Alligator mississippiensis: one gene and its partners. The protein of the gene in region 1 interacts with the protein of each later gene in a pairwise test. Links are inferred from orthologs where the notes say so. Each region holds a gene or a part of one and is shown in the gene's direction. Other genes may lie near its edges. The genes, in order: RASSF1, STK4, SUV39H2 and LATS2.

What was found.
Region 2: the proteins of RASSF1 (region 1) and STK4 interact in binary tests that used the Homo sapiens proteins (3 or more experiments, as listed by UniProt). The link is inferred for Alligator mississippiensis from reciprocal best matches to the Homo sapiens genes RASSF1 and STK4.
Region 3: the proteins of RASSF1 (region 1) and SUV39H2 interact in a two-hybrid assay, tested with the Homo sapiens proteins (2 studies listed by BioGRID and IntAct). The link is inferred for Alligator mississippiensis from reciprocal best matches to the Homo sapiens genes RASSF1 and SUV39H2.
Region 4: the proteins of RASSF1 (region 1) and LATS2 come close enough for resonance energy transfer, tested with the Homo sapiens proteins (2 studies listed by BioGRID). The link is inferred for Alligator mississippiensis from reciprocal best matches to the Homo sapiens genes RASSF1 and LATS2.

The regions. Positions count from the first base shown.
Region 1 is NC_081835.1:43,829,473-43,837,630, reverse strand, and holds the start of RASSF1 (ras association domain-containing protein 1), read left to right. Parts: upstream 1-4,700; 5' UTR 4,701-4,931; coding exon 4,932-5,220; intron 5,221-8,158. UniProt on the Homo sapiens protein: Potential tumor suppressor. Required for death receptor-dependent apoptosis. Mediates activation of STK3/MST2 and STK4/MST1 during Fas-induced apoptosis by preventing their dephosphorylation.
Region 2 is NC_081832.1:16,838,757-16,846,329, forward strand, and holds the start of STK4 (serine/threonine-protein kinase 4), read left to right. Parts: upstream 1-4,276; 5' UTR 4,277-4,488; coding exon 4,489-4,520; intron 4,521-7,573. Other genes in the region: TOMM34 (mitochondrial import receptor subunit TOM34), read right to left, coding at 270-422, 1,232-1,331, 3,774-3,894. UniProt on the Homo sapiens protein: Stress-activated, pro-apoptotic kinase which, following caspase-cleavage, enters the nucleus and induces chromatin condensation followed by internucleosomal DNA fragmentation.
Region 3 is NC_081827.1:15,549,171-15,557,066, forward strand, and holds the start of SUV39H2 (histone-lysine N-methyltransferase SUV39H2), read left to right. Parts: upstream 1-4,632; 5' UTR 4,633-4,656; coding exon 4,657-4,675; intron 4,676-6,020; coding exon 6,021-6,166; intron 6,167-7,127; coding exon 7,128-7,799; intron 7,800-7,896. UniProt on the Homo sapiens protein: Histone methyltransferase that specifically trimethylates 'Lys-9' of histone H3 using monomethylated H3 'Lys-9' as substrate.
Region 4 is NC_081824.1:433,393,432-433,401,541, forward strand, and holds the start of LATS2 (serine/threonine-protein kinase LATS2), read left to right. Parts: upstream 1-4,980; 5' UTR 4,981-5,104; intron 5,105-8,110. UniProt on the Homo sapiens protein: Negative regulator of YAP1 in the Hippo signaling pathway that plays a pivotal role in organ size control and tumor suppression by restricting proliferation and promoting apoptosis.

The DNA.
Region 1 (8,158 bases):
TTGTATAGCTATGCTGCTTGGCACCCTTCCAGGCAAGAACAATGCTCAGTGTTCACCCAGGTACTTTTTGCAGAGGATCACACAATACTTTAAAGAAAGTAGGGGATTACCATCATGCTGGACAGAAGGAGAAGGCAGAGGTGAAGGGAAGACAAGTGATGTGCCCAGGGTTGCACACTCAATTGGTGGGAGGCCTAGGATCAGAACCCAGGACTCTCCACTCCTGTTGCAGCTTCCTTTCATTGAACCTTTTTCAAGACAGCAAAGGTGTATGCCCTTAAGTGTCAGTGTTTGACAATGTTGTCCTGTAGCTGTTTGGCAGTGTTTGGTAATGTCGTCTTGGCCAATAAAAGACAAATGACTTTTCAGACACTGCCCTGAATTGCCCAAGTTGGGTAAGTGGCTAATGTCCATAGTCAGTACTGCAACTGATCTCCATGGGTTAGGTCAGTATCACCAGACCTATTTGAAAGTGGGAGAAAGTGAAGCATGGAGAGGGGAAGTGTCTTGTCCCAGATCACAGAAGGAAGATTCATGGAAAAGCTGAGCTATCTCCCAGGGGTGTCCTCCAGCCACTAGACCCATCTCAGCAAGAAGCCACCTTTTGGGCCTAGGCAAAAGCTCTGCATTGGTGAATAGTGTCCATAAAGTAGGCTGGAGCCACCAGTTCATAAATTCTGGTGGAGAATTCTGATCTGAAAAGAGTTGTGAGGAGAAGACAAGGCAGCAGGAAGGGTCTGCTTTCCTAGGGAGTTCAGGCTACACCAGAACTACCTTAGTTCTGGTAAGTTGAAAGTGTTTTAACTGGTTACTCATAGCAAATGCTTTTCTTGGGTTTGTTCTTCCCCTGCTTTGGTGTCAGGAACCTGGGAGGTTGCAAAGTCAGAGGGCATCAGTCAATGTTCCTTCTGTGTCCCTTCCTGATTACTTAGAGATCCATAGCAGGGAATGACCCTTGCATTTCTGGCACTAGTGTGAGGATCCTTTCTCTGTCTCGCCAGCTGTGAAAGAACATCACAGCACATGCTGGGCCTGGGTCTCTTTTGCAATAGAGCCTCTGTCTAGAAATCAACTAGGGGCATTCAAGAGCTCGAGCTGAGAGCAGACTCCAACAGGATGCTGACTCCATGCAGGAGCGGGGATATTGCTACTTTACCTGAATCATTCTCTGAGCTGTGACTGGGACTGCAGGGCTGGGCTGGGCTGGGCTGGGCTTTAGAAAATAATCAGAGCTTGGCCTGCCTTACCCCAAACTCCCTAGGGTGACAGGAGGCCAGCCAGTGAACCCTCCCTGCAACTGTGGGAGCAGGGTAACGGGGAATTTTCATGGCTTCTGGGTGCACAATCTAAACTGGAGAGTAAGGAAGAACCTAGCCTCTTCCCAGAGCTGTGGTATGACAGGATATGGGTCTATGTCCAGTTGGCATAAGTCCTCCTCAGAGAGGTAGGGATAAGCACATTTAGAATATAGGGTTTGCTAGTGTGATCTGCCCCCATGGTAAAAGACAAACAGATTAAACAGATTAGCCACTATGTTGGAGGAAGGGAGTAAGCCCAAAGGGCAGAAAAGTGGAGTCCGATCTCATCTACCCTGTGTAAATTTGGAGTCTCCCAGTGAAATTAACAGAATTACTCCACACCTACACTAGACCAGTACCTCTACTAACTTCCATGAAGTGACCCTGAATCTATCGTAGCATCTAGAGCAGGGGTGGGCAAAATGTGACCTATGGGCCAGATGCAGCCCTCCAGGCCATTCTATCCAGCCCACGGGGCCCCTAAAAATTTAGAAAATTAATATTTATCTGCCCCTAGCTGCCTGTCATGTGGCTTGCCAAAACTCAGTAAGTGGCCTTCCACCCGAAATAATTGCCTGCCCCTGATTTAGAGCAACATGTTCACCACTGTTCTCCCTATGCAGGTGGGCAGGTTGTCTGCCTTTGGTGAGGTTTTTACATCCTCCTTTAGAACACCCAACATTGACCACACTTGTAGACTGGATGACTGCTCAGCTGAATTATTGATCTGTTCTGATGCAAGAGGAAAACTATTGTTCCTGATTGCCAATAGCACTATCAAGCCAGCAGGTGGTTAGGGGAAAATAAGTTTTCCAAGATCTGGAAGTACTGGGTCAGCCCAAGAGGAGAAGAGATGGTGACAGGAAAATCACTGCTTATTTCAGTGTCCCCTGCTTTGACCAGCTACCCTGTTAATGCTTCCTGGCAACTCTCACTCCCAGGAAATGGCTTGTCCTTAGAGTAAAAAAAAATCCAGTTCAGTTTGAGCCCGTCCTGGATATTTTTGATCTATTCATCTTGTATTTCAGTGCCAGCAGGAGCCATGCCCCCAAGGAGCTCTCTTTTCCTTGGTTAGGCCCACCCATTGCTCTGATTCTATTTTTTTCCATTGAAACCAGACAGTGAGCTGGTCAAGCTTTGCAGCTGATTGTGTGCAGGTTTTTAACTGCAATACCATGGTGACCACCAGCAACAAACGGGACTGGCTGCCAGCTGACTGGGCTTCTTGGCAGCTGTGGCAGCCACAGGATTTGTGAGGCTGGCCAGAGGACCCTGAATAAACTCCAACATATGGAGTGGCTGGAGCTGCTTGCACTCAGCCAGTGTCTTTATGGGACAAGTTCCATCTTGGGCTACCCCAGCCATTGCACAGCTGCTGCTGCTGCTCTGCAGATAATAGGCCCAGGGGGCTGGGGATGCTCCTCTCTGCAAGGGCAGAGGGGCTGAGAATCAGCAAACAGGAATTGGGTCAGAATGAAGCATCTAATGCTAATGTAGAGGATGAAGTCTGATGTCTGTAAGCTCTCTGGAGACCCTGTTGCTTTCCTCTCATCTATATGTTGTCATTGTGTGGGGAGATGGGTCCGTGAGGTGCTCTCTGCAGATGAAGGACACCCTGGAATGAGGAAGAGGAGGAGCATTATCCTCAGTGTCTCAGTCATCCCAAGCCAACTAGCCTTGAGCAGCTCAGAGAAGGCCAAGGACTGAGGCAAACCCCTTGACATTTTGGGGATCTCAAGATGCTGCCAGCTGCAAGGCCATTGTTTGAGTATGGCACTAGCACCAAGAGTCACCCCAATGAAGAGGTGGAGTCTGTCAGTGCATGAGTGTGTCAATGAGATACTTCCAGCCTTGGTGGGATGGTCCCTGTTCACCCCTCGGGGTGCTGATAGGCATTGCAGTGGACTGAGCCCAGCCTCTTACTGGTTGTTTTGGAGATTCATGGAGATAAGGAAGAGGAGTGAAGAGGAGCTAATCAGCCAAGCTCAACTGCCATTGGAAGAGGAGGAGGTAGCCTAACAACAGCCTTGTGAGCTCACCACCCATGGCGGTGAAGTCCCATGTCAGTTGGGGATCCACCCCCCAACTACTTTTCATTAGGGCTTCAGATTTTTTTTCCACTAGCCATGTTCCACACATCAAACAGATCCCTTCTCTGTGAGTGGGGTCTCTTGCAGGATTGCACAGTACAAAGCATCTCTTTGGGGGTTAAGGCAAGTGTCTCTGGTTCTTGCAATGCTGTGTTCCACAGGCCACATGCCTGAGGGGATCTTCCCCCTGTGCCCTGAGGGGAAGCTCCCACTGGCAACTGAGCTCTTCTAGGCTCTGATGTACCCCAGGTGGAAAGCCTTCCCCTTGTGATGACTCGTAGGTGAAGCAAAGCCCAGCTCCTCTTAATGAGCCAACCCACCCATAACACCCTGCTACTCCCTCCCTTGAGCCATGGACGGTGCCATTTCTACAAGTCTCTTAGCTATGTGCTTTGACCTGCTGATGGCAAGTGGCCTCTCTCAGCTCTACTTGATTTCACCTCCTTCATGGCATAAGCCTGGGCCACCATATGTCCTTTGTTGCCTGCTTCTGTCCACATTGGGTCTGGCCCCATTTCTTGGGAGACTGGTGCAAGCGTGGCTGTTGAATTCCCAGGCAGCTGCCTGGCTTGGAGCTGGGTATTAAAAGCCGTGGCTGGAGCCAGGCATCCTACCAGGAGTGTAGAGAGTAGCAGTTGCTGATGAGGCAGGGCTGGTAGGAAGCGAGGAAGGAGAAAAGATGCATTCCTGGTGCCACAGGCTGCGAGTGCGGTGTGGGGGGACTCACAAGGCACCAGCAGCAGCCCCTTTGCCTAGCTACAGGCTCTGCCCTGTGGGGCACCGCTGGTGGGAGTGAGCTCTGCAGATGGCTGCCTGCTCCTTGCTCCACAGGGAAGCCACTTCCTTCCACCCTGGTTGGACCCATCCGGGAAGGGGGAAGATGTCTGTGAAGAAGAAAGTGAGGCCTTATTCTTTGGGGTGAAAAACGAAAATGGCTCCAGCCCCATTCCTTGCCAGGCTGTGCTGTGGCAGGAAGAGGCTAATGCCATGGCACCAGTAGCGAGGGTTGTCCTCCCCCCTCAGCAAAGCCGGGTCTCACGGGCGGCTGCCAAGCCCCGAGGTGCCTTCCTCTCCTGCGGGGACACCCGTGCCAATGGGCCGCGGCAGCCTCTGGTCGCTGGAGCGGCACCCCCGGCTCTGCCCCGGGACGGGCAGCCCGGGCGTGGGAGCTCCCGGCTCCGGGCTGGCCCGACCCACGCGAGGCTCCAGCGCGGGCGGCAGAAGGGGGCGGGGAGGCGGGCGGGACGGCGGGGCGCCGCCGCCGAGGGGACGGGCGGGAGCGTGACGGGACTCGGAGGAGCCGCCCCAGGTGCCGGGACGGGGGCTCCTCGCGGGCCGCCGCGGCCTCGGCGACGCCCCTGCCCCGCAGCCCTGCCTGCCCTCGGGGCGGCTCCTAGGGCCGGGGGAGGCGGCCGCCCACTCCTGCTGCGGCCGGGCCAGCCCCCGCGGGCCGCCGGGGAGGGGAAAGTGAGGCGCGGAGCGAAGGAGCGGGGACCGGGCGGCCCTCGCAGCCCCGGCGCAGGACCGGCCCGGGTGCCCGGGGATGGCGCGGGCGGCGCGCGGGGGGCAGCAGGAGATGATCGAGCTGCAGGACCTGGCGCCGGCTCGCGGGGGGCGGCTGGAGCGGGCCAACGCGCTGCGCATCGCCCCGGGCCGGATGCCCGAGCTGCTCGGCCGCGTGCGGCACGCCCGGGCCGTCCCGGGCCAGGACCAGGGCCAGGGCCAGGGCCAGGGTCACGCCTTCCGGCCCCGCGCCCGCGGCCACCACGCCTGGTGCGACCTGTGCGGGGACTTCATCTGGGGCGTCCGCAGCAGGAGCCTGCAGTGCGGCCGTGAGTACCTTGCCGGGCCGGGCCGGGCCGGGGGCGCAGCTTCCTTCCCCCCAGAGCCGCGCAGCGACGCCCTGCGCTGTCCCCGTGGCCGGCACCTCCTGCAGGCAGCAGCTGGGCCCCGGGTGCCACTGCCGCGCGAGGGGTCAGGCGGCGGCGGCGGCACCACGCCAGGGACTGCCCGGCTGCACGGGTTGGTACCAGCGGGCTGGGGACTGGACACGCCTGAGCCTGTGGCCAGAGCAAGCCACAGCAGTTTCCCCCTTGCCCTCTGCCCTGCACCCGCCGGGCTTGCACACAAGTAGTGCCCCTCTCTGTTGGCGGCGCTTCAGGAGCACCCTGGCCTTGCACTTGCCGGCAGAGCAGTTTCAATTCAAATGTAAAAGGGCATCAAAGGAGTCTTGTTGATGGGCAGGGGAAGGGGACTGGGAAGGTCACTGAGGCCCTGTAGGGAGAAGCACCCCGTTTGCCCTTGTGCTTGACCATGCACCCATCCAGCAACGGGCCCCTTGGAAATGCCACGGAGAGAGTCCAGTGCTGCCTCCAGCTCACCATGCCCTGCCAGTGAGGCTGCCCTGAGACAAGCCCAGCACTCCGGCCGCACAGCTAGGTTTGGGCTCTGGCCCATGCAGGAGGCTCCAGGTCTCCGGTGTGAGCAGGTCCTGGTCATGCACTGTGTATATCTCCAGCATGACAGAAGTCTGTCCTCACAGGGTCACTGAGCACACTCTGCTCCGGACCCAAAAATGCAGCAGTGAGGCTGCTCCGAGTCAGCCCCACAGCTGCTTTCAAGTGTGCAGGAGATGGTGGGGCTGCAGGTGACTGTGGGGGATGCCCCAGGACAGCATCCTGGTGCAGTTCTGGGTGTGGAGCCTGCAGGAGAGAGCAGGTAGGGAGGGTGCTTGAGAAAGGCCTGACCAGGGCCTGCTGCTGGCTGGGGTCCCTGTGTCCCTGCCCCACAGCAGAGATGTAGCCAGTCAGATTTGGGATGTTGAGCCCTCTGAGTCCTGCCTTGGTGTCTTGTTGCTCTTCTGAGGGTTGTCTGAGAGGGAAATCTAAGGAGCTTCCTCAGTTAGGAATCAGCCCAGAGCCCCTGGGAATGGGAAGTCAGGAGACTTTGGGACACCGCCCAGCACAAACTAGCTTTGGGGGCTGATTGCATGAGTTAAGCCAGGGATTGTCAACCAGGGGTACGCATACCCTTGGGGATACTTGAGACAGCCCCAGGGAGTATGCATGGCGACACAGGGAAGTGGCATGTAGTGGCGGCACAGAGTGGTGAATGGTGGCAGCAGCCACCGTGTGTCACTTCCTCACCCCCCACTACCACCATTCACCATTCTGTGCCTTTGCCACACACTGCTTCCCTGCGCTGCTGGCTTTGTGTCAGGTTGGCTGTGCTGTCAGCATCCCACCCCCCTGCTCCCTGGCCAGCCATCAGCACAACCCCCTCACCGTCTGGAAGGGGGTATACTCCAGAAGGGGTACCCACTAGAAGGGGTACACTCCTTTAAAAAGGTTGCAACCCCCTGGGTTAAGCTGTTCCCTGGCACCAGGCAGAGCTGGATCCAGGGTGGGTGCAGTTGCATCTCCCCCCTCCTCTTCTTTTATTTCTGGTCCCTACACATTTTAAAACCAACTGCCTGGCAGAGGCAGCAAGATTTCTATTCAGGCTGGGGGGACAGAGTCAATTGACTTCATGTCTCATTATCATCTCCCTGATTCCTGCTAATCTGTCTCCACTCCACAAGTGTCAACAATCCTCTATCCTTTTTAAAGGTCTTGATGTTCTGCTAGTCAAACTATTCTTTCTTCTGTAATGCTGCTGTCTGTTAGTTATTTCTGGTAATCTCTTCTGTTTCACAACCCTGTAGACTTTTTAGCTCTAGCTAAAAAGCCTTAGCTCAGGTATGGTAATATTAATTTAGGTGGAGACATGATTGACTGTGAAGTATTGGGGCACTATCCAGATGCCCAAGGTGGCTAGATTTCATTTTATGAATCTGAATGAGATATACATGTAACTAGAATGACTACAGGACTAATGTCACAATATAAATTTCATAGACATTAGGGCTGGAAGGGACCTTGAAGATCATCAAGTCCAGCCCCCTGCCCTAGGGGCAGGAAGTCAGCTAGGGTCAAAGGACCGCAGCAAGATAAGCATCCAAGTGTTTCTTGAATGAGTCAAGAGTAGGTGCCTGCACCACATCTGGAAGGAGTCTATTCCAGGTCTTGGGGGCTCGGATAGTAAAGAATGTTTTTCTTATGTCCAGCCTAAAATGGTCTTGCAGGAGTTTATAACCGTTGGTCCTTGTTTTCCCATGGGGCGCTCTGGTAAACAGCCATTCTCCCAGGTCCTGATGAACACCCCTTGTGTGGCAGTCACCAGGTCCCCCTGAGCCTGCGCTTTTCCAGACTATCTTTTGACTATTTTTGCCTGGTTTGTTGTCTGTGTGTTCTTAATTTTGTATATAATCTAGCAAACTATTGCATGCTCCAATAGTTGTATTTTTTTGCTTTGATCTTAAGCTGAATAATATAGTCTAGCCTCCTTAATAATAATAATAATAATAATAATAGCCTCCTTGCATATTAGTAAAGCATCTAGGTTTTTAGCACTTGGTATGTGGTTTAAAGTTATGCCATTCCAGGACAGGATTATCTCTGATCCTGCTATGCAGCTGGTGTTACACTAAAGTGTAGCCACTGAGGATGTAGCCTTAGTGTAAATACCCTACCTGGGTCCCTCTCTCACTGGCCCAGGTCAGGCCCACTACCCCCCGACACCCTCCCTAGCACTCCAGATCCCCACTCACTGCTCCCCCACCCTCTCCTTGAGGGTCCTGTAGTGGGCCAGACTGAGGAGAGCACCTGGCCACAGGCTCTGACTCTTGAGCATGGTACTGCTCTTGATAAGTTACTGGGGTGTTCTTCCCTC
Region 2 (7,573 bases), on another chromosome or scaffold:
CAAGTGTATCATTTACCAGCTAGAAGGGAGGGAAGTAGCATAAAGGGCACAGAGAGCTGCAGGGCTGACAGCAAACAACACTAACACTAAAGAATTCACAGCATAGGGGTAGAAGATGAATGGGTTTCTGCTATTTAACCAGAATCCAAAGTCACCCAACCTGTCCATGAGCAACCATCCTAAAAGCAGGGCTGTGAGTGACCCAGGCTGCTGCCTGTATTGTCAAGCCTCCATTTTGGCTTGTGTAACAGTATAAACTTAGAAGTTACCTGTTGACACCATCATGTGCAGCCTGTACAGTGCAGTCAATCTGCAATACAGTCTTGTAGTCCACATAGGCTAGCTGGTATCTCTCAAGAGCCTCATAGGCTGCTGCCCGCCTCAACAGAGGTTTGATTCCAAAAGGAACAAGGTCCAGTGCACTGTATCAGGGGGAGGAAGCAAGAGAGGTCACTGGGCCACCTGAGTTAAGTTCAGCAGAGAGGAGAAGGTTGGTGTACTTGATGGACTGGGGGTTTGTCAGGTATCAGCTTTTCATGACTAAGTTTTAAAGGCACAACCTTGAAACTACAGAATTGCACCTTGGAAATATTTGCTTGACAGGGAATGATCCTGCAGAAGTGAATGGGGAACTTCTGCATCTCTCAGGTGTGCAGTGTTGTAGCCAGGGGACAAAGGAAGAAAGATATTAATTCTATCTCCCAGTGACAGTCACTTTTTTCTCAGAATAAACAAAACCAAAAGCAGGAAAGTATGCTGGGACAAGGGCTATGGACACAGGTTGCAGTTCAGCTGTGCTACAGAACAACTAAAGATGTAGAGCTGTGGAAAGGTTTAGGTAGGGAATGATCCTGCAGGAGTGAGTAGGGAATGGAAGGCCAATTCAACAGTATTAAAAAATTAAAAAATAAAAGTAATGTATACATGGTTAGCAAGGAAGAGAGGCCTTTGTACTGCTTCAAGCAAATGAATTTGACATCTTCTCCCCACCTTGTTTAAATGACACCAACAACAAAAGGCCAAGCAAAATGCTTCGCCCATATGTGTTTTGCTATGGGTGGCTGACCAATGCCAGTGTTTGGGATGGAGGCTACTATATGGTTCCCTAAAGGTACTTAACTTTTCCTCCCAATAGTCTTAAATGAAAGGCCCAGTTGGTAACCACACACTATCTTATTTCATTCACAACAAAAACACGGTTTAGGTTTTCATCTGGGTAACAGCTACTTACACAGTACAGTCCTTAACACAGAGGCTACAATTCCCATCCTTCAGATAGCAGGCAGCTCGATTTGAATGGAGGACACTCATTTCCTCAGCATCCTTCTCCCCTAGGAGCAGAAACAAAAACAGAAGATAAATTCAAGGTGGGAAATGTGGGACAATATATTCAGTGCATGCTATGGCCAATTCCTGTATTAGATGTTTCTACTTACACCAGAAAAGGGGTACTAAAAATAAGATGGATCTCACAGATATTGAAGTATGGCTCAAGAGAGCCATTTGGAAGCTCAACTGCTAAAGTTACTGATCAGTACCAGCAATAAAGCTCATCTTTCATCTTCAAAGCATCAGGTACTTAATTGTCAGTCTCCCCAAAGAAGCAAACAATGATCATCCCGATGTGGATCAGATCTAGGCTTAAGAGTTCAGAAGATCCCAGTCTCTAGTTTCCCGGTTCATAATTCTGTCTTTTTCATTGCTGCAGCTGGTAGTGACAGCACTCAACAGCAGAACACATGAGCCTGTAGAAGGTTTAAAAAGAAAAGCCCCTAGCAACTTTATGATGGAACAAGTTTGGGACCTTGGCAGCCACATCTGGGTTTATGTTGTGCTGTGGGGCCATGGCTGGATTGTGATTTTTTTTTAATTATTATAATTTTCCAAGATTTTTTATAATTTTTATAATTCCAAGCCAAATTTATAATTTTCTGAACATTTTTATAATTCCAAGCCAAATTTGCCAAAACAAATTCCAAATTCGAGAGTCAGTCCAGAACCATAGGTGCCCCTACTACTGGCAAACATCTTCCACCCCCATCTGGGTCTTCAGATGTTCCCGAATCCTTTGGTGGGCATCCTACTTGCAGGCCCAAGCCAGGAGTTTGGATGCCTCCAAGTTTTGCTTGCCCTTAGCCATAAGGCCCCAGAAGCAAGCTAGGGAGGAGTCTCCCATTTCCATAAGGTGGGCATAAAGCCAGGGTTAACTATGTATTAACTATGCAGATACTGTTCCATGCCAGCAGAGCGGTCTTCCCCAGGTGCAACTAGGAAGCCACCAGGGTGATCATCAGGGCTGTGTGAAGCTTTGGGTAGTGATTCTATCTGGAGGAGATTTGGCCCGATTCAGCGGCCGAATCTCAGAATCCGAATCAAATCAGGGGACCAATTTAAAGGTCTGAATCGACTCAAAGCTCTCCAAATCTTCGGAAAAGCTTTGGAAAGCTTTGATGACTTGGGCAGTCCCCAGTGGCTGCAGCAGGGAGCTGCAGTTGACTGTGAACTGGTAAGTACTAGGGGCAGGGGAAGAGGGGCTGGCTGGGGGAGGGGACCATGGAGGGGACCCTGGTCAGCCCCCCCCCACCATGGCTGCTCCCGCCCACCCCAGCTCCCAGTACTTTAAAAAAAATAAAATAGCCCCGGTGCTCACTGGGTGCTGCTGAGCAGGGGGGGTCCAAACCTGCTGCCCCCCCCACTGCCCCACGGGGGGCTCTGTACAAGCCCCCCGACCCCCCCCACGGGTGCCTCACCTGGGCCAGCTCCAGCCCTTTAAGAAAAAAAAAAAAAACTTGAGAAAAGCCCCAGACTCACTGCTCCTGCAGCAGCTGGGGGGTCTTGCGCAGAGTCCCCCGCATGGTGTGGGGATTGCCCCCCCCAGCAGCCAGTCCCAGGGTTGTTTCCATTTTTTTTTCCTTAAAGGGCCAGAGCTGGCCCGTGAGGTGCACACATGGGAAGGGGCTGGAGGAGTGAGGGGGAGGGTCAGGGGGGTGGGGGGGTCATGCAGAGACATGCAGCATGCCCCCATGCAGCGAGGGGCAGCAGGGATCACCCCCCACCCAGGAACACCTGGTGATCCAGGGCTTTTTATTTATTTTTTTACTAGTGCTGGGAGCTGGGGCAGCCATTGCCACCTGGGAGAGGGGTTGGGGATGGGCCTGGCCTGGCTGATTCAGAAATTTGGCTGCTGCCGACTCTCCGAATCAGATTTGGCGGAATCTAATCGGGACAGCGATTCGAATCATTTAATCAAATCACTGTCCCCCAAATGGGCCAAATCCGAAGCGAATACCAGCCGTTTCACACAGGCCTAGTGATCATGGCATTTCCCCTGCCAGGCAAGTTAGGACTGTGCTTGATCCGGGCCGACAAGAGGCCGAGGAGCCTGGGCTCTGCATATAAGGCAACAACCCGCACTGTGGCAAGGAGGCTGCCGCTCCCCGCGGGTCCAGCCGGCCAAACGCGCGTTACCTCCGCAATGACGAGAGCAGGTCACCCGCTGGCTGCCCTCCACCGCGCGGCACTATTTTTAAACTGGGCCACCGAAGGCGCGGGGGGAGTCGGCAGAGCCGCGCTGCTGCGAGGGGCCCTGCTCTAGCAGCTCTGCCCCGCCCTGGCGCGCCCCGGGAGGACGGACGGGCCAGGGGGCCGCACCTGGCAGGAACCGCGCGGGGGGGCTCAGCTCACAGCCGCGCGGTGTCCCGCGGAGGGGTCCCCTGCCTGCCCCAGGCTCGGCGGGAGGCAGAGGGCGAGCCGGGCCCTCCTCTCGCCCCTACCTGCTGCCTCGAGCAGCGCCAGCGCACGGCTGTAGAGCGCAGCCGCCTGCCCGTACTGCCCGCTGCGGAACTGCTCGTTGCCGGCGCTGCGCAGCGCCGCGACCCGCGGCTCGGGGGCCATGGGGCCGGCAGGCGCAGTCGGGCGTCGGCTGCTCCCCGGGGGCTCCGGGCGCCGCTTCCTGCCGGCTCCTAGCCGGGGCGGGGCAGCTCCGCCGGCTTCTGCTCGGCCCCGCCCCTGCCCCTGCCCCTGCCCCGCCCCCGGGGGCAGGGTCTCGCGACAGCGGGGCGGGGAAAGGCCGGGCCCGGCTCCCTGCTGGGGCGGGGCGGGGCAGGGCTAGAAACTAGGCGCATCTTTTACGCGGCGGGGCTGGCTGGACACCGCGCGTGCAGGAGCCTGGCCTGACGCGCGCGACGAGTCACACCCGCCCATGAGGAGGGCGCGACGCATTCTGGGAAACTGCCTCGGGCTGGGGGCGGTCCCGCGGCCTGGCCGCGCCCCTCTGCCGCAGGAGGCGCGGAGCCCCGCCCTCTCCGCGAGACCACGTGACTGCCGTTCGGCCCCGCCCCACGCTTCCGGCGTGTGGGGGCGGAGGAGGCGGAAGCGGAGCGGAAGCCGCGCGGAGCCGGTGGAGCGGGAGGTAGAGGAGGCACCGTGGCCATGGCCATAGCGGAGTGAGCGCGTCTCCCGCCGTCGCCCGCACGGGCCCGCCGCGCCATGGAGACCGTACAGCTGCGCAACCCGCGCCGGTGAGGAGAGGCGAGGCGAGGCGGGGGCGGGCCGGCGGACCCGGTTGTCATGGGGACTCGCGGCTCCGAGCGCCCGGGGTGGCAGCACCTCCGCCGGGGCCGGGGGCGGCCCCACGCCCCACCGCGGGGTAGTCGCGGCTGCTGCGACTTAGTTGCGTATTGACGCGTGTCCGATCTCGCCCGAATTAATCAGCCCCGAATTAAATAGGTCGTTTGTTTGTAGCCGGAGGAGTCGCTCCCCTGCTGGCTGGGGATTTTGGTCGTGGGTTCCACCCTTCTTCAAACCATCCTCGCAGGTGTATTGTTGTTATGTGGGGTTAGGGGAGCCGGGCTTGTCACGCAGGAGCCGTGTCCAGCCTGTAACCGGACTTATTTCAGAAAGCAAGGCGCCGGGTGAAGCAAGAAAGGCCTCGGGGCCCTGTCAGGTTACTTGTTCTTGCTTGAATAACAACACCGAGTCACCGTTACCGAATGCAAGTATGGCAAGGAACGGGAGTCTTGGCAACGTAACTGCCAATCATGGAAACGAGAGCTGTGCTTTTGTAGTCGTGATGTTTAAGACACCTCTGCCTTAGCATGATCAAAGAGGCATTGTTGAAGTGCTGAATTCCCACAGCTCTTCACAGAATAAGAGTCATTTGCTCTCTGGGGGTTGCCAGTCTAAATAGGTATCGGGAACTCGAGGAAATGTTCCAGCTTAACCTGCCTTTTTATGTAAGGCAACAGGAAAATCCAAAACCTTTGGTATTCAAGGCACTGAAAAAAAAAGGGAGTAAAAGGAGGGGAAATCTGGTCATTGCTGTAAGTCCAAATAAAGACCTAATGTTGTCTTCTTAATAATACCCTTTTTCTCTGAAACCCAGTAGGTACAGCTAAGATGACTGAGGTAGCGTCTTCACAATTTTCCTTTCTGTGCAAGGAGCATCAGTTAGTTAATAGAATATATTGCTTAGAGTTGCAACTAAAATATTTCATGGAGGAAAGCAAAACTTGTGGGATTTCCTTGTTGCTGATGCACTTATTCCATTTATATGGTGTGGAATATATTTGTTAGTCATAAGTAAATCCGTCTGGAGTTCTGAATGCCCTGTAATTACTTCTAGGTCTCCAAGCACTAAGTCTGGCAAGTGATGATAGCTAAGGGAACTCGCATTTCCTTATAGCAGAATATTTGGAGGGCTTTATCTTCATCTGTGCACGTGCACTGTATCATAGATCCTATGACAATTATGTTTTCTTTGACATTTGGGAAAGTTCACTTCCCGGTGATTTTAGAAGTCAAGCTGGTGACCCTTTAAAATACCTTAGAAATATTTCGGGGTATTTTGGGGTAGCAGTTGTTGTGATAACCTTGTGTATCTCTTGCAAAACTGCACAAAGCTCTTTTTTTAGGTGAGATCTATCATGTTCTCTCTGCGTTCTGCCAATGTTCCTGTCTATTTTAAGGTTCAATGATCTCTGACTATGGATGAGAGCAGTGGAGCCTAGACAGAGCAATTCACAACCAGATGATTTAAGTAGCCAAGAGGAAGAAATGGATCAACTGATGTGTAATTTATTCTGTTGCAACCTTTGGCTCATATTGTTCACAAGCAAAACCGGAAGCTGATGGGAAATAATGGGGGGTGTCAAACCTTCTCTAAAGAACCCCTGAAAGTGTAGAAGTATGAAAAGTTGCCAGCAATATGAATCTGTTCATTTTTTCCCTCTAATTGTAGATTGAGTTAATATTGGGAGTTAATCTTAAAAGTCTAATTAAGAGGACTTTTGAATGACAGACAACATGCTAGTATAACTAGGTCTGAAACCTTGCTAGATCATGAAAAACTAATGACTTAAAATCTTCCATTTTTCAATAGGAGATTCATTCTGTACTCTTAAAAAAAACAAAAAAACCCCCCAACTTTTCCTTTTAGGACTGACTGAGACATGTCAAATCAGATGTTAAATTTCTTTTTAATTAGTTTGGGAAAGGCCTAGGGCATATTTAGTCTAAGGAAGTAGAATTTTGATTTTTGGAAGTCACTTGTGTCTTCCCTTTTAATTAAAGTTACTCATCAACAAAGGCCACTATTTATTACATGTGTATTAAGGGGGGGCGGGGAATGAAATGATTTATTTTCTAATCTCCTAGTTATTCCATTTAGCAGTTAAAAGTGCAAGCTAGCAGTGACAGGATGTTTATCCTTTGAAGCTCAGTTCAATGCCTTGTATACTGTTGCTAACATTCCTTAATGTTCGCTCTTACTTTTTTCTGATAAGTAACATCTGTTGGGTGTGCAGGCAGTGTCAGTTTGGGATTTCAAAGACATGTGAACCAAGCTGTTAGTAGCCTATCATTTCACTGCAGACTGTTGTTGAACAACTCTGGACAGAGGATAATTTGGAAGCACTTCAGCAATTGAATGAAGTTTCAGTCTGTCAGAACACTATCGGTGGTGTGCAGCTGTTTCTAACTGTATGTTTGAGAGATGAGCAGAAGAGGCAGTTTCCTTTGTTTTGTGACAGATAGCAGCTGGCTTTCTTTTCTTTTCTTTTTTTTGTTCTAGTTTAACTGACAAGGGAGCAAAATATCTGCTGTTAGTAATGTGTTTAGTTTACCTATAATTTAGTATATAATTGTCTATATGGAAGTTTAACTATACCTGACCCAGATTAGATGTGAACACTCCAGAAAGCAAAATTGTTTTTGTTTCCATCTTAACCCTCTATAAAAAGGTATGCTGTAAAAGACAGGGTGTCCTAGATAATTTGGATCACTCCTGATTCAGGCTCATTAGATGCTGAAAGAATACCATTGAATTTCTGAATATGTTCAGGAACAGGGAAGCTTAGTGTCACTTGAAATAGGCAATAAATTGGCTCCTGAAGAGCTCATGTGATGTTTGGATCTTCTAAAATCATGTAGAATTGGTGTGTGGCTGGATCTAATTCTACACACTTTATTCTGTAGTATCTGCCCTTTAGATTACTACATTTCAAGCTATTTGGTAATGGTGACTAGGTATTGTTATTCAAGCAAGAACAAGTAACCTTCTTTTGGTTTAATGCTT
Region 3 (7,896 bases), on another chromosome or scaffold:
CATGGCAGGGGGTCGGACTTGATGACCTGCTCAGGTCCCTTCCGACCCTGCCAAGTATGAAACTATGAAACTATGAAAGCAGTCTTAGACTGAATGATTATCTAAATTACCTGTTTGTCCTCTGTTAAGTAATTTATTTTAAAAAATGTACACTTGAGAAGGCCCTGAAAAGGAAGATGCACAGAGACGAGGGCAAGGAGACGGACAGGCAGGCAGGACCAGAGCAGTCTAAGGGAGAACTGCTGAGGCTGTTTTGTCCCAAGAAGTTAGCTTTGCTTTTTCCCCCCACAACGGATGTAGTTGAGTCAATAAAAGGTACCACCAAACATATCTTGTGCAACACCCCAGCCCTACTATTTCCTGCATAGACCCATTAGGCTTCAGGGAAGAAGAAATCTGCTAGTTGTGTTTTTAAGAGCGCTGTCTGCTTTGCTGCTTGGGACTGGTTGGGCTCTGAAACCTCAAAAAAGGTACAGTCCTCCTCCAGGAGCTGAATCAGCTTCTGGGGTACCACAGATGGAGGAGTGAGGTGAGCAGGTGGGCACAAGGATCAAAAGGCTGGGGATCAAGAGTCCAAGGAGTCAGAGGCTCACCCGCTCTAGCTCTGTCTGGGCTTCTGAGAATATTTAAAGAGAATATATAAAGCTAGGGGTCTTAAGCAAGTGGTCCCTTGGGGATTGTGACAGCTAGGATGACATGTGTAAATGTGTTAGACAAAGAGGAAGGAGTAATTGATGTGTTAGGACCAATTTATGTGCTAAGACCAGGTGCAGAGATGAAAAGAGACAGATCTTCCCCTGGAATTTTAAATCTTGCTTAATTAACACATTCCAAGGCCCACTGCAAAACTAGATGGTTTTGGTTCTTTGGTGTCCTGGAACAAAGAAACCTCTCAGATGTCCTCTTTTATTTTCCTAGATTGTACAATTTAGGCTCTTAAATGATCACTGGCAACACATTTGTGCAGGCTTGTTATTGTGATGCCAGAGAGAAGGTAAAAGTGAAGTAAGAAAGCTTTGATGTATTTTGTACTTAACTTTGTTTAGCATAATGGTTAGCTTTCTTAGAAAAGGACTTTATTCATATCTGGCTTATCTGAACAGTCTGATTTGTTTGGAAGAAACTGAATGACAAAGGGGGAAATTGGGCAGATATGATTTGATTCATAGAATCATAGAGAAGTCAGGCTGGAAGGGACCTCCAGAGGTCATCTGGTCCAGCCCCTGCCTAAGGCAGGATCATTCCTATCCAATTGTGGCAGGGCACTGCATCTCCTGCCACTTTAGGTCAGGCAGCCTGCTGAGCCACTGGCAGGTGAGGGTCAGGGCAGATTGCAGTCAGCTGCCCCAGGGGGCTGGCAGGTGAGGCTAGGCCTGATCAAAGGAGTCACTTGACTGAAGAGTCACCTGCTTGGAGGAGATGACTCTCCTCAATCAAGGCTTAGATGGGGTATAAGCCTAGATCCTGAAAGCAGGGCTGGCAGTAAGGCACATCACCCAGCCGGAGGGCTGCCGCTAGTGAGGAGAATGATATCTGGAGGTTTGGATAGGAACTAAGGGGATGGAGGAGGCTCCTGGGGACCCAGTGTGGGATTCAGAGTCCTGAAAAGGGGCTGAGTGCATAGGGACCTGTGGAGAGGCTGGATGAGCCTAGAGAGAGAAAGGGGCAGAGTGCATGGGGGCTTGTTGAGAGGCCAGAGGAACCCAGAGAAAGTAGCTGAGTGCCTGTGGCCTGTTGAGGAGGGCTTGACAAACCCAGAGAGGAGCTGTGTGCACAGGGGCTTTGTGAGAGGCCCAAAGGAAGCGGGTATGTAGAAAGACCTATGGAGGGCTCTGAACTTGCAGAGAGAGCAATGCATGGAGGGACCCGAGAATGGACCCACAGAGAGGAGAGGGCTGGCAGCTAAAGGACTGACCCTGGGAACTTCAACTAGCCTATGCTGGGGCCAGGGCCCAGGAGTGGCCCAAGGGTGAGAGAGCCCACCAGGAAAGCTGGCTAGAGCTGGGAGCCTGGAGCCTCAGCTGACCCAGAGACAGGGCCAGGGCCTAGGAGAGGCACAAAGGTCCTTGTGGAGACCACAGCTAAGAAGCCATCAGGGAGTGTGTAGCCCAGTATGACGATGGCTGGTAGGGCTCCACGAGTGAGATGGGGCCAGAGATAGAGGACTTAGAGGAGAGATGAAGCTAGGGCCAGGGAGCCCAGTACCTAGCAGCCTAGGAGGGATGCTGGACATCTAGGGGAAGCCCAGAGAGAGATGAGTATGATCAGGTAGGCCTGAAGCTGGTCCTTGGTAAGACCTAAAACTGCACCATCAAGGCATGGCAGAAAAGATGGGAGGCACCTCAGGGATGGAAGGGGGCACGGCTGTGGAGCCTCCAGGGGAACGTCACAGCCACCCCTGGGATGCGACCCTTTTACAAGAATCCATAATCTAAGCTCTACAAAAGACCAGTGTCAGCCCTGACACAACATGCCTAACACCCTAACTTGCCAAGGGTAAAGCAGGGGAATCAGGCAGACAAGGTCCTGTTTCTATGAAATGTCCTTACATACTCAGGGGATCCTGTGTAGACGGCAAACCCCCCCACAGTGGGTGTGCCTACATGTACATATGAATGTGACATAATAAACTCTGGCACTTACCATACCGGAGTTTATTGTTCCTGGGCACTGCGTTTACGTGTGTGTCTGGGATCGCAGAACGTTAAACTGGGTCAGAGTAGCCCTGGCTGGCAGGGAACCCAAGGTATCAGCCTGACAGCCTGGGGCTTGTTCTGACCCTGCATCACATGCCGTGGAGGGGCTGGCTGGGGCACGAGGGTGCGCCAGTGCAGGGCTAGCTGGCAGGCAGCCCCTGTACTAAAGCACCTTTATGCCTCAGCCAGCCAGGTCAGAGTCTATACATGCGCTGCTATGCACAAAATACCTCCACAGCAGAACTGTACTTGTATTTACAAATACTAACTTGCTGCAAAGTTTATTAGTTTCCTGGGGCCTAAAAGGGCTGCACATGCAGACAGCTGTTTCTGTGGAGCTAATTAGGCAACTCCACAGTAAACCTCTTGTATAGATGTGCCCAGTCTGTATCAATCTGACCATGGGGATTAACCTAGGGTTACCATATTTCCAGTTGCAAAAAAGACCCTGGGGGGGGGGGGGTGAAATTCAGTTGTCAGGGGGCAGTGATATGCCTGTGCCCTGCATCTGCCCCTCACTCCTAAGCCACAGCCCACCCCCCTTGCAATTCACTCCCAACCCCCAGACCATGCTGGTACCCCTCATTCCCAACCCATACCCCCCATACCCATAGATGATGTGTAGGGGGGTCATGAGGGCATGTGCCCCCACCTGAGATTGGCCACTGCTGAAGCTGCTGCTGGCTTCTGTGGGTGGTTGCTGCCCCCGCACCGCTGCCGATGCGGCCGCCTGCAGACCCCGCTCGCTGCTTGTCCCTCCTCCCCTTCTCCTGCTGCTGGCAGTGGCTGCGGGCGGTCCCTGCTCGCTGCCATGGTGCACCCCCCAGTCGCAGGATCATGCCCCATGATCCTAACCCATAGTCCCCTGCCTCCATGGTGCCCACAAGCCACAGCCCCCACAGTGCCCTTAACTCCCAACCCACAGCCCCTGCCTGCACGCCCCTCACCCTGCTGGTGCTCCTTGCTCTCGACATGCAGGATCTCCCCAGCCCTGCTGGTTCCCCTCACTCCCAACCCACAGCCCCGTTCCCCCCAGCCCTGCTGCCCCCCCCAAAACCCCCACCCCTTCCCCTGCTGGAGGGGCAGACACCTCCCCTGCCTTCCTGCTCTGCTGAAGCCCCAGTGCCAGCAGGCACCCAGCCTGTCACACACCGAGACCCAGACACAGATGGTCTCCAGCCCTGGCCCTTTCCCTTCAACCCCTGCCCACTACAGACTTACTTGCCTGCAGCTGCCGGGGCTCACACAGGTCTGTGATGCCCCTGCATCCAATTGCCCTCTCCCCCAGTTCTCCCCAGCCCCAAGCAGCTCCTTGCTGGGGCAAGCCAGGAAGTGCCAAGGAAAACTTGGATGCTGAGCAGAGGCAGAGCAAAATCTTGGACATTTGCTGATATTTTAAAAAACCACCTGAAAGGGAGATGGGAGGACGTGTCTGAGAAAACCCAGACGTAGGGCAACCCTAACGAACCAGTGTGGATGGAGTCTCTTTGGTGTGCAGCACACTGCCAGATTCAAGGAGCTGCTGTGCAGCACACTTCTGCAATTTGAGTTGGCCCCTACATAGAGGATAACCTAGAGAAAAGCCTGTTACAAACATGGGTTCAGGGCACTGGCCATCCCAGATCCCGGGATGCTTTCAGGTTTTTAGAGCCGGTTCACCTTGTGCAACTGATCCTGTTGATTTACTAATAAAGGCATCATCAAAGCCCTTCATTTCTAAAGAAATAACCTGCTCTGGGAGGACCCTGCCATCCAAGGCCTAACCCTGCAAGCAGCAGTGTACGCGCAGGGCAGGAAACAAAGAGAAACCAGCTCCGGCCCGGCCGCGCCGCCACGCGCAGAAAAGGCGGGAAGCGCCGTGGCGGGAAGGAAGGGGGGGCGGGGGCGGGGCTGGGGAGGTGCTGCGCGCATGCGCGTGCGCGGAGGGGCGGGGCCGAGCCGGGCGGGCGGGACTGCCAAGATGGAGGGCTGGCGCGGAGGTGAGCGCGGTGCGGTGCGGCCGCTACGGAAGGGCCCGGTCCGACCCGACCCGACCCGACCCCCACCACCCTCGTGCCCGGGGACGGGGCCGCTCCGCCGCCGGCAGCGGGCCCTGAGGGCGGGGGCGGGGCGTGTGCCCGCCGGGAGCCGCCCGCGAGCGGGGCCTGCGGCTGCGCGGGACGCTTCAATGGGGGGGAGGGGCTACACAGAGCGCTTCAGAGGAGGGAGAGGGGCTGGATAGAGCGCTTTAATGGGCAGGACAGAGCGCTTTAAAGGGTGGGAGAGGGGCTGCAGGGCAGAGGACTTTAGAGGGGGGGAGGGGGCAGGACAGCACTTTAAAGGAGGGGGAGGGACTGCACAGAGATCTTTAATGGGCAGGACAAAGTGCTTTACAGGGTGGGGGAGGGGCTGGGTAGAGCGCTTTAAAGGGCTGTACAGGGTGGGGGATGGGGCAGGACAGAGTGCTTAATGTGGGGGGCAGGACAGCCCTGTAACGGGTGGGGGAGGGGGGCTGCATAGAGCGCGTTAAAGGGCTGGGTAGAGTGCTTAATGGGTGGGGGGACAGGACAGAGCGCTTGAAGGACTTAGGAGCAGGGAGCTGTGCCCAGGATCACCTGCAGGGCGGAGGTGCGGTAGGCAGCCGGGCTCAGTGGCACCCAGGATCATCTGCAGGGCGGAGGTGCGGTAGGCAGCCGGGCTCTTGTCGCTGTGGTTGTCCAGAAACGAGCACACGTACAAAGCCGAGGTGCACAGAGGGGGTGGCTGGCGACTTGGCTTTAGGCTTGCTGGAGCGGCGCTCGGACCCCCTGACCCTTGCTGCCTCCTGGGCTGCCTGACCAAGGGCTGCTGGACGCGCTGAGGGAGGTTGTGGGCCGAGGCTCACCCAGAAACTAGAAGCCTCCTTTGAGAAGGGAGGCCAGTAAAGACGTAGCAACAGAGTTCTTGGGAGAAATCGCATGGAAACAGGGAAGGGAGCGAGGCTCAGAGGTTCGTGTGGAGGGAAGCTCTCGGATCACTTCGGCCAGCACTCGCTGCCCCCTGAGCAAGTTGAGGGAGCCTGTGGGTGCTGTCCGGTAAAGCTGCCCAGAGACGAGCGAAGGAGTGAAGTGGAAGACAGTCCCGCGTTCGTCCCGGTTCTCCCCAGCCAGATCCTTCCTGGGCTGGTGGATGTGTGACACGGGATACCAGGCAAGATGGACCTATGGTCTGATCCAGTAAATAGCAGTTCTTACATTCTTCAGTCTGGGGGTTTGGGAGAAAGTGAACACAAGTCATCTGCTGAATTTTTTTTTTCAACTCAGCTAAGGCATGAAATGGGTAAAGAATCCTATTTTCTTATTGTAGCTTGGTATGTGCCATGTCTAGCTGCACATGAGACCCTCCAGGAATTATGTAGGAAGGAGAATCTCACATGTAAATCCATTGGAATCGCCAACAGGAATCTAAAGAGTTATGAGGTGGAATATTTGTGTGGCTACAAGGTAGAAGAGGTAAGATAAATGTCTGGTCTTATTTAGCACTTTGATGAATGCATCAGTAGCAATTTGGAAGGGGAAAGAGAGTTTTCCCTAAGGTGGACAGTAGTAGGTGAGGACAGGCCTCTGGTCAGGCACCTATTGATATTGAACCAAAACCCCAATGGTGTTTCTTGAGCTTCTGAAGTTGTATGGAAGGAAGGTTCTGCTTTTCATAATGGAGCATGACATGATTGAAATGAAAGCTCTCTTGTTGATTTTATTTTATTCGCAAGTAAAGGACCATGACTTGTTGGTACCATAGTCACTTTGAACAGCTAGGGCCAGCTGCTGTACCTGGATCAGCATGGCCAGAGCACTGCTGAAGTCACTGAGGAAACTTGCGGTTACGAGAGCCTGCTTACGTGACTCCAGTTTCAGGATCTGGCCCATTTTAAAACAATTTAAAGTTCTTATGTTATATACAACCCAAGTTCATGAGACTTAAGTGTTTTGGACATATCATTCCTTTAGGATGATGTATGTAACTATGACAAATAGTGCTGTTTGAGGGTTGTTTGGTAAGTTAAGACTTATTTTGTTCTTTTGTGATTTTACTTTATTCCATTCATATACCAAAGTTAGTAAATATAACCTTTACTAGAGCTGCTTTAGCAAATTAACCCTGTACTGGTTTCGTGGAAATAGTTTTTAGTTTGTTTTCTTTTTTCCCCAGCTGTATAGTTATTTTTGTGCCTCACTTGCAGTGATAGAGTACATGGTACCTCATATGAAATGCATGATTTTTCCATTGCTGATTAGCATAATTTTTTCTATGCATTTATGCCACCTCCTTAACTTTGTGTTTAATTTTATGTACTATGGATGTGATAGCGAAGTATTTGCGTCACTGAACAAGCCCACTTTTTTTAAGTATTGAATTTTGCTGAGCTGTTACAAGTTTAGACATAACGCTTCTATTATTTTGTATTTCAAGGGCACAGAATACTACCTTGTGAAGTGGAAAGGATGGCCAGAATCCACAAATACCTGGGAACCTTTGGAAAATCTTAAATGCCCATTGCTCCTCCAAAACTTTCATAATGATCAGAATGAATATTTATCTCGAGCAAAGCAAGGGAAGGCACTAATAATGAGAAAACATGGCAAGGCTTTGAAACCTGCAGTAGTAGATTACATTGTAAAGAAAGCTAAACAAAGAGTAGCTCTACAGAGATGGAAAGAAGAACTCAACAGGAAGAAGAACCATAAAGGGATGATTCTTGTAGAAAACACTGTGGATCTTGAGGGTCCTCCTTTAGACTTTTACTACATTAATGAATATAAGCCTGCTCCAGGAATAAATGTGATCAATGGAATCACAACTGGCTGTGAATGCTCTGATTGCCCTGCTGAGAAATGTTGTCCCAAGGAGGCTGGATGTCTTTTGGCTTACAATAAATATAGGCAGTTAAAAATCCAACCGGGTTTGCCCATCTATGAGTGCAACTCATTCTGTAGATGTGGTCCTGATTGTCCTAACAGGATAGTACAGAAAGGCACACCTTACTCTCTTTGCATCTTCAGAACTAACAATGGCCGTGGCTGGGGAGTAAAAACCCTCCAGAAAATTAAAACAAACAGTTTTGTGATGGAATATGTTGGAGAGGTATGTATTTATCTCATGTAGATGAATTATGGAGTAAAAGTGTTATTATTTCAGAAGAGGGACTTTTTAATAATTGTTTTTTTAATTGTTTTGCTCT
Region 4 (8,110 bases), on another chromosome or scaffold:
CAAGAACAAGTGCTGGAAGGAGGTCTCTCTCCACCACTGTTGCTGTCCCCTGTTGATGCAGGTGGCTCTTAGCCGGTGGGAACACCTTGGGGGTTGTGGGGGGAGCAGGCACTAGAAAAGGAATCTGCATGCTGCCACTGCTGCCCTGGCTGAGCCCAGCTCCCTGTGCAGCTGCTCCCCACAACCCCCAGCTGGAGGGGGCAGGAGCATAGATTCATAGATTCATAGATGTTAGGGTTGGAAGGGACCTCAATAGATCATTGAGTCCGACCCCCTGCATAGGCAGGAAAGAGTGCTGGGTTCAGATGACCCTAGCCAGATGCCTATCTAACCTCCTCTTGAAGACCTCCAGGGTAGGGGAGAGCATCACCTCCCTTGGGAGCCCATTCCAGACTTTGGCCACTCTAACTGTGAAGAAGTTCTTCCTAATGTCCAGTCTAAATCTGCTCTCTGCTAGCTTATGGCCATTATTTCTTGTAACCCCCAGGGGCGCCTTGGTGAGAAGAGCCTCACCAATTCCCTTCTGCACCCCCATGATGAATTTATAGGCAGCCACAAGGTCGCCTCTCAACCTTCTCTTGCGGAGGCTGAAGAGGTCCAGGTGCCCTAGTCTCTCCTCATAGGGCTTGGCTTGCAAGCCCTTAACCATACAAGTGGCCTTTCTCTGGACCTTCTCTAGGTTATCCACATCCCTCTTAAAGTGTGGCGCCCAAAACTGGACGCAGTATTTCAACTGCGGTCTGACCAGCGCCCGATAGAGGGGAAGTATCACCTCCTTGATTCTGTTTGTTATGCATCTGCTGATGCATGATAAAGTGCCATTAGCTTTGCTGATGACTTCATCACACTGCCGACTCATGTTCATCTTGGAGTCCACTAGGACTCTGAGATCCCTTTCTGCTTCCGTGCTGCCAAGCAGGTCATTCCCTAGGCAGTAGGTGTGCTGGACATTTTTCCTCCCTAGGTGCAGAACTTTGCATTTCTCCTTGTTAAATCTCATTCTGTTGTTTTCTGCCCATTTGTCCAACCTGTCCAGGTCTGCCTGTAGCTGTTCCCTGCCCTCTGGTGTGTCCACTTCTCCACACAGTTTTGTATCATCTGCAAACTTGGACAGAGTACACTTCACTCCCTCGTCCAAGTCACTGATGAATACATTGAAGAGTATCAGTCCAAGGACCGAGCCCTTCAGGACCCCACTGCCCACGTCCTTCCAGGTCAATACCAACCCACCCACCACCCTGGGCAGGGTTCTGGGACTCCCTGTCCACCACCCTGAGCAATTCTGGGGCTCCCCCCCGGGTCAGCTGGGAATAGTGCTGGCAGGAGAGTCCCAATTTTGTATTTTTACTCCCTGCCTGGCTCCCTAGTGTCCCCCACTGGCCCAGGTGCTCCAGCCATGCCTCACTCCGATCCCCTCACCATCTGAAATGTGGTATGCCACACTCCTCATCATGAAATCCTGGAACCACCCATGCCTGAAGTCAATGGAGTTTTACTAACACTTCCTAGGCACTTTAAAAATCTGCCAACAAGGAACTAAGCATGACCAGTAAGACTATCAATAAGTTGCCTACCTCAATCTCTCACCAGTTAAATTCTTGCCACCAAATGTACCATCATCTTAGAAACAGAAGAAAAAAGAGCAGTGCTGCCATTGGACGATATAAATGTGCCCATGCACACACACATATGAAGAAAAGCAATCAGTGTGGCAATTATTGAGAAGTCTCCTCACCCATGTCCAAGAAACATTATGAAATTAAGATGGCAGGACAAAGTTCCAAATACTGGAGTGAGCAAATATGTGAAGCACAGGTGGCATGATTATAAAAGCACAGTCAAGATGGTCTGGCCATATAATCAGGATATCTTTAAATTAGCTTATTAAGAAATGCTTTATGCAGCACTGTGCTGTGGTAGATGTTGATGTGGTCCGATTTGTAGAAGATAAAGGATCTTCTAAAATGACCCTTCAGTCAAGGCAGTATTGATGTCTGAAGCTGGGAACAAAAGGCTTATGAATATGTTGCAGTGTTGTCCATGATGCTGGAAATGACTACGAATAGACACATCAAGAATGCAGCGGCAAAATCCAAAGTTTCAGGTTCAGGATCAGCCCTGCTAGTCTGCAGTATCCACCACTGTCTATTTGGTCTGTGACTACGTTGCAGACAAAAATCTTATTTTGCCACCCAAGAGTGCATCTCTGAATGCTTTTGTCAGAAGATGAAATGTGGTCATCATCAGCTACTGAAAATGATAATGATGAGTCCTCCTTATGCTGCAGAGGGACTATTTACATAAATAAGATCTACAAAATCAGGCCCGTCATTACTTCAGGACTTCCCCAGAAAGGTCCATTTTTTTCTCCTCACATGGTAGAGTTATATTAAAAGAGGACTACTCCCAATACTTATCTAGTTGGTTTCTAAGGATTTAACTGAGAATTCCCCTTCATGTATCCAGTTTCATGTACATCCTCAGTTTCATGTACAGCCTCAGATACATTACTGCACATTTTCAGTGTGTAAGTGCATGTGACTCTGATGTAGAACAATAGGGCCATGGTTAGTCCCACACACACCATACCAGACATTTTCCTCTTAGTTGCTACTCCAGGGCAGCAGGTTTTTAGACAAGGGTTTAATCTACTATCATTTATGGCACTGCACACCAACTTTCTTATTGCAACTAAAACTGCTGATAAATACACCTACTCTTGTCAAGCTACAACCATAATAATTGACATATACACAGCTTTATTTAGTATTGTACTGTTATACTGTGATTCACTAGACCCTAAAGAATGTGAAGACAATGCAATATGCTACATAACAAAAATTGATGTCATGTGAGCCATTCTACTTTTCTTGCTTTTAAAGATTGTGAGGAACTTGCAAAACTCTGTTCCTAAAATTATTCATTTTCATGTGGCAAGCATTGTAACCTTTGTGGCTCAATGTGCAAGTCTGCTCTATAACTATACTTTGCCTACAAGGTCATTACATGTCCACAATCTTCTCATATCTCTACACCACATTTGACCATTTTGTTCCACATGCTTGTGCTCAATTTATTATACTTTTTTTTCCAAGATCTTACATTGTACATGTGCCTTCAAGCAGTGGGCACTGCAGCAGGTGTTGCATAGTCTGAGGCTCTGTGCCACAGTCACAGGTGGTTGAACTAATGGTATAGCCCCACTTCTTCATTCATTTCTTGGAGCGTCCAACTCCATTGTGTAGGCGGTTGAGACATTGCTACCTTTGCCGTGGCTCATCGGCCCCTGGTGGTAAAGATGTAGACACCAGAATATCCATTTTTTCGCTTGCAGGTATATTTTCAGCTTCTTGTTTCATATCCATAGTCATGTCTCCTTGAGTGTGGCATCAAGAGGTTGGGTGCTGGTAAGAAAGCTCCTGTATGACTTCAGTCACTTGTGTGCTGTGGGATAGTTGTACAGCGGGTGTCTTACATCTTCAGACTGTCTCAATTTTTCTATCCTGCTGGCCACTGTTCTTCTGATGTTAGGTGGAGTGATGTCAGCCAACAGATACACACTATTTAGGCCCACAATGTAATAGCTGTTACAAAATACCTGGGAAGTGTTAAAATATGCTATGTAAAACCACATTTTCTAACTGCTGCTCCATGTATATTGCAATACCTGTTAACTATTTTGTCTTAAAGAAAGGAAATGCCTTGTGCTGAGAATTTATATTATGTGATGTTTTAACTCAAAATGAAATAACAGTTCTTTTATGACAACCCACCTCCTTCAAGATGCACTGCACAATAGAAATGGGGACATCACCCTAACAAAAGTGACAGGCATAGTTCTAGTAAAACCAAATGTCCTGGAATCATAAAATAGAGCAAGAGAAAGTAGGAACTTAGATGCTGGTTTTTTTGAAAGAGTGAATTGCATCTTTTCAGCTGTTGACTGAAAAGGAATTCTTTATCTGGCATACTGAGTGATAACTACTATAATTTGACACACACAAATGGGTTTTGCATCCAGTACATTCTGGCCCATTAAAATCAAAGTTTGGCCATTGACTTCAGGGAGGGTAGTTTTCACCCTTCATTCTCTTTCAGTGCAATGTCAGCATTATACAGGTCATTTGTGAACAAATGTAAAACTCACATAAAATCTAAAGCAAGTTCTTTCTGACCAACATAATTGACCTGCTATTCATATGGATCCTGGGGAATAACAGATTCCAAATACATCTCATCTAGAAAGTTTGGATGTGGATGCAAATGTCTAGTAAATGGAGATATTTCAAACTGCCTTACAAGTACACTGGTCTCTTTTTCACATGCTGCCCATAAGTAAAAGGCTGTGCATCTTAGAAACAAATTAATCAATTGCAGAACAATCTGCAGGAAACTGTTGTAAACAAGCTGAAAGGAAATCTTTTATTACAGATGGCTTTAGCAGGTACAGCTTTGGTTTAATAAAACTTTATTGGACTGGCTTAGGCTTTGTAACCCCCATTGCAAAAATAAGATTAATTCAAATATACTTTAATCAAGCCCTCAAAAATTTGGATTACTCATGAACAAGCCTTGTTGTCACAGCCATAATGATGTGCATTCAATACCATGCTGCCTTGCTTAATGGGATCTGTCAAATAAGAGAAAATGTCCCTGCTAAATCAAAGACAAAATACAAACATCTCCAACTGATATATTTGAAAGCCTATCATTCAATGGAGTGGGATGTTAGGATTTCCTGATACATATATGTGGAAGTTGATCAGATGAGCAATTTGCATATTACTAAGTGTTGCACTGGAATGGAATGCCCTTTGCAGAGAAGTGAATTCCTTTGGGAGTTTGGTAGGTGGCGCTAAAGCCTGCACCAGTACTGCCATGCTAACGCCGTGGTTATCAACAACCAGTTCTGCACTCCGGATAATTTCTTGCACTAAACAGATAGTTCAGCTGTTGCTCTCTCCTAATTAAAGCAAATAACATGTTTCCCTCTCTTCCCCTCCCCCCACACCCCCCAAAAAAGATTCTGCTGTTTCCTGGAAGAGTCTTCAGTTCTCCATGACATAAAGAAAAACTGCTGGAATTTGGTCCTGCTGCTGACAAGGTAAAAATGTCAGGGATCTGAAGCAGAGGTACCGTTTTGATATGTTGTGCCAGTAGTTATAATTTACATCTAATCAATTACAAGCCTCTGGTGACAATATTTCCTTGTTCTAAGAATAGATCTTGAAAGTATTTTAAGAATTCTGGTTGTCATGCAATTAATAGCGCGCTTTGTTCTGAGTATAAAGATTTACTTGTTTGGAGCAGTAACCGTATTTTGCATGTAAAAAAGGGGAACGGGAGGGTTTTATTGCCAGCACTTCTCCTTACAGAGGGATGAATCACTTGCATTCTTGGCAGCCAAGCGCAAATTCACAAGAATGCTCAGTTTGATCAACTTCCTCCAAAACACTAAGCTTAAAGTAAAGAGGAGAAAAGAGAGTGAGAAGCTTGGATGGGCCCATATACAGAAGACATTACAAGATGGACATCTAAGCATGAAGACAATAAATCTAGTGTACAAACTGTTTTGCCCAAAGCAAGTCACTTGCTGTTACAGGAGTAGCCAGACTAAATTAAGTGAATAATACTGAAAAGAAAAAACAAAGCTGGAAAGAGCCAGAGGGGGAACACTCCAAAATGGGCAGAAATGTGGGATGTAGTGTCAAAAATTAGTTCAGTACAATTTAACAGTTTTATGTAGAGAATGCAAAGTTTCAGCAAAAAACCTCACCTTCCTTCCCCTATAATAATGGAAGATTGCATCAAAGATCCTAAGACTAAGAAACTCAAAATATATGAATGGGCTTAGTTAGGTGTAAAGAAATTCTTTCTTTCTTTCTTCCTTGTTGCTGGCTTTTGTTCCCTCACCCCAACACTCTGCCAGAATCCCATTTCTACATGTGGTACATGGGAGGTGTGTGGGAGTGGAGACACTAGCATTGTATCATTAACTGCATAGCAATTCCTTTGAGAGAGCTGTGGGGTCACCACTCCCAGTGGGAGTCAGAGCCTCAGACATGGATGCACCTGAACTGGTTGCCAGGACATGTTGTGTTTTCCCTATCTTTGTGGTGGTTTAGGAACAGATTAGACAAACATCTGTCAAGGCTGGCCTAAGTATATCTGATCCTGGATTAGAGCCGGGGGATGGATGAGATGACCCCTTGAAGTTCCTTCATTTCTATGATTCTATAGATCTCTGCAAGAAAGGGTTGTTTTGAGGGAGATGTTCATTATGGGTTTCCTTGCACGGCAAAGTGACAAATTATATTGCATGGCAGACATAGGAGCCGGTTGTAAATAAGGTTTCCCAGATCTGGCCGTGCCAGCCCCACCTGCAGCTCCCACTGACTTTGAAGGGGTTTGAAGAGTGATCTTCCCCCTCTATGCGGCACTGGTCAGGCCGCAGTTGGAGTACTTACTGCATCCAGTTCTGGGTGCCGCACTTCAGGAGGGATGTGGACAGCATTGAGAGGGTCCAGAGGAGTGCCACTCACATGATCAGGGGGCAGCAGGGCAGACCCTACAAGGAGAGGCTAAGGGACCTGAACCTGTTCAGCCTCCACAAGCGAAGGCTGAGAGGGGATCTAGTGGCCTGTTACAAACTAGTCAGAGGGGACCAGCAGGCATCAGGGGAGTCCCTGTTCCCCCGAGCACTACCAGGAGTGACTAGAAATAACAGTCACAAGCTGGCAGAGGGTAGATTCAGACTAGACATCAGGAGGCGCTACTTCACAGTCAGGGCGGCTAGGATCTGGAACCAACTTCCAAGCTAAGTGGTGCTGGCTCCTACCCTGAGGGTCTTTAAGAGGAGGTTAGACGAACACCTTGCTGGGGTCATTTGACCCCAGTACTTTTTCCTGCCATGGCGGGGGGTCGGACTTGATGATCTGCTCAGGTCCCTTCCAACCCTACCAACTATGAAACTATGAAACTATGACTTGAATAAAGAATAGGAGGAGCCAGTTCTTTCTTTTCTCTGCATACTCAGCTGAGGTGAAATGATATGCAAGTGATCTAAGGAAGGAAGCAGTTTCCACTGGTGCCATCTTGCTATTCCCACTGCCTTATGTTTCATCAGATTCATAATTTGAGTTTCACAGTTTGAGGCTGTGTCTTGTAACATGCAGATTGGACCCCATTCCTGGCCAGCTTTAGGAATCTTTGCTTTGGCTCCTGCAGCTGACTCCTTTAGTAACAGGAGAAATTCTCAGAAACAAATGGTCAGAGTTCCGCTGCAGCAAAGTGTCTGCTGCTCAGGGGAGGTGGCCAGCTCGGAGACAGGATGCCGGCTGAATAACCCTCCATTCCTGAAGAGGGTGGTCCCTAAAGGTCAGGGTTGGCTTCAATGGGGTGGCAGTGTAAGAGGAAGTTGGCTCAGAGGGTGCTTTCATAAGGCTTGAACTATGAATAAATTCAGTCTCTTGTATTCTCCATTCCCAAGTATTAGTCACTCAGAAATATGAATAGGAAAATAAGGTTAGTGAGAACAATCCTGTTACTGGGCATTTATTATGTATTTCTTTCTTTTGTCTCAGACAGGGGACTTTGTGCAATAGATAAGGCCTCTTGTTGCTGCTTGAGGGGAATATGTACATGTCAGCTGTGCTAGGAGCAGAAATTTAAGTGTGTCCCAACGTAAGGCGCATAGGCAAGGCATATAGGCAGCCATCAGCTCTCTGACATCACAGCAAATCGTTTATATTGTAAATTATGACCCTGCCTTATACATTAAATGCTCTCCTTGGCACAGTGAAAAACTCTCAAGGAATTTATACTTGCACCAGGCATTGTACAGGTTCATATTTGGGTGAGCCTGCCCAACCAGGCCCATCCACAGCAACACCACCTGGTGCATGTGTGTGAAGATGAGGCAGAAGGTAGATCAGCTAAGATACTGGACTAAAAAATACTGGGCTGCTATACCTCTGACTCATGCCAGGAGTGAATTGAACCCAGTGTATCTCCATGTTGTACTTATTTGGAGGGGTTTGTTTTGAATGATCAAAACTCCTCTGGACAAGACTTCTGTGCCACTCCCAGGTGCCTCCCACAGAAGCACTGC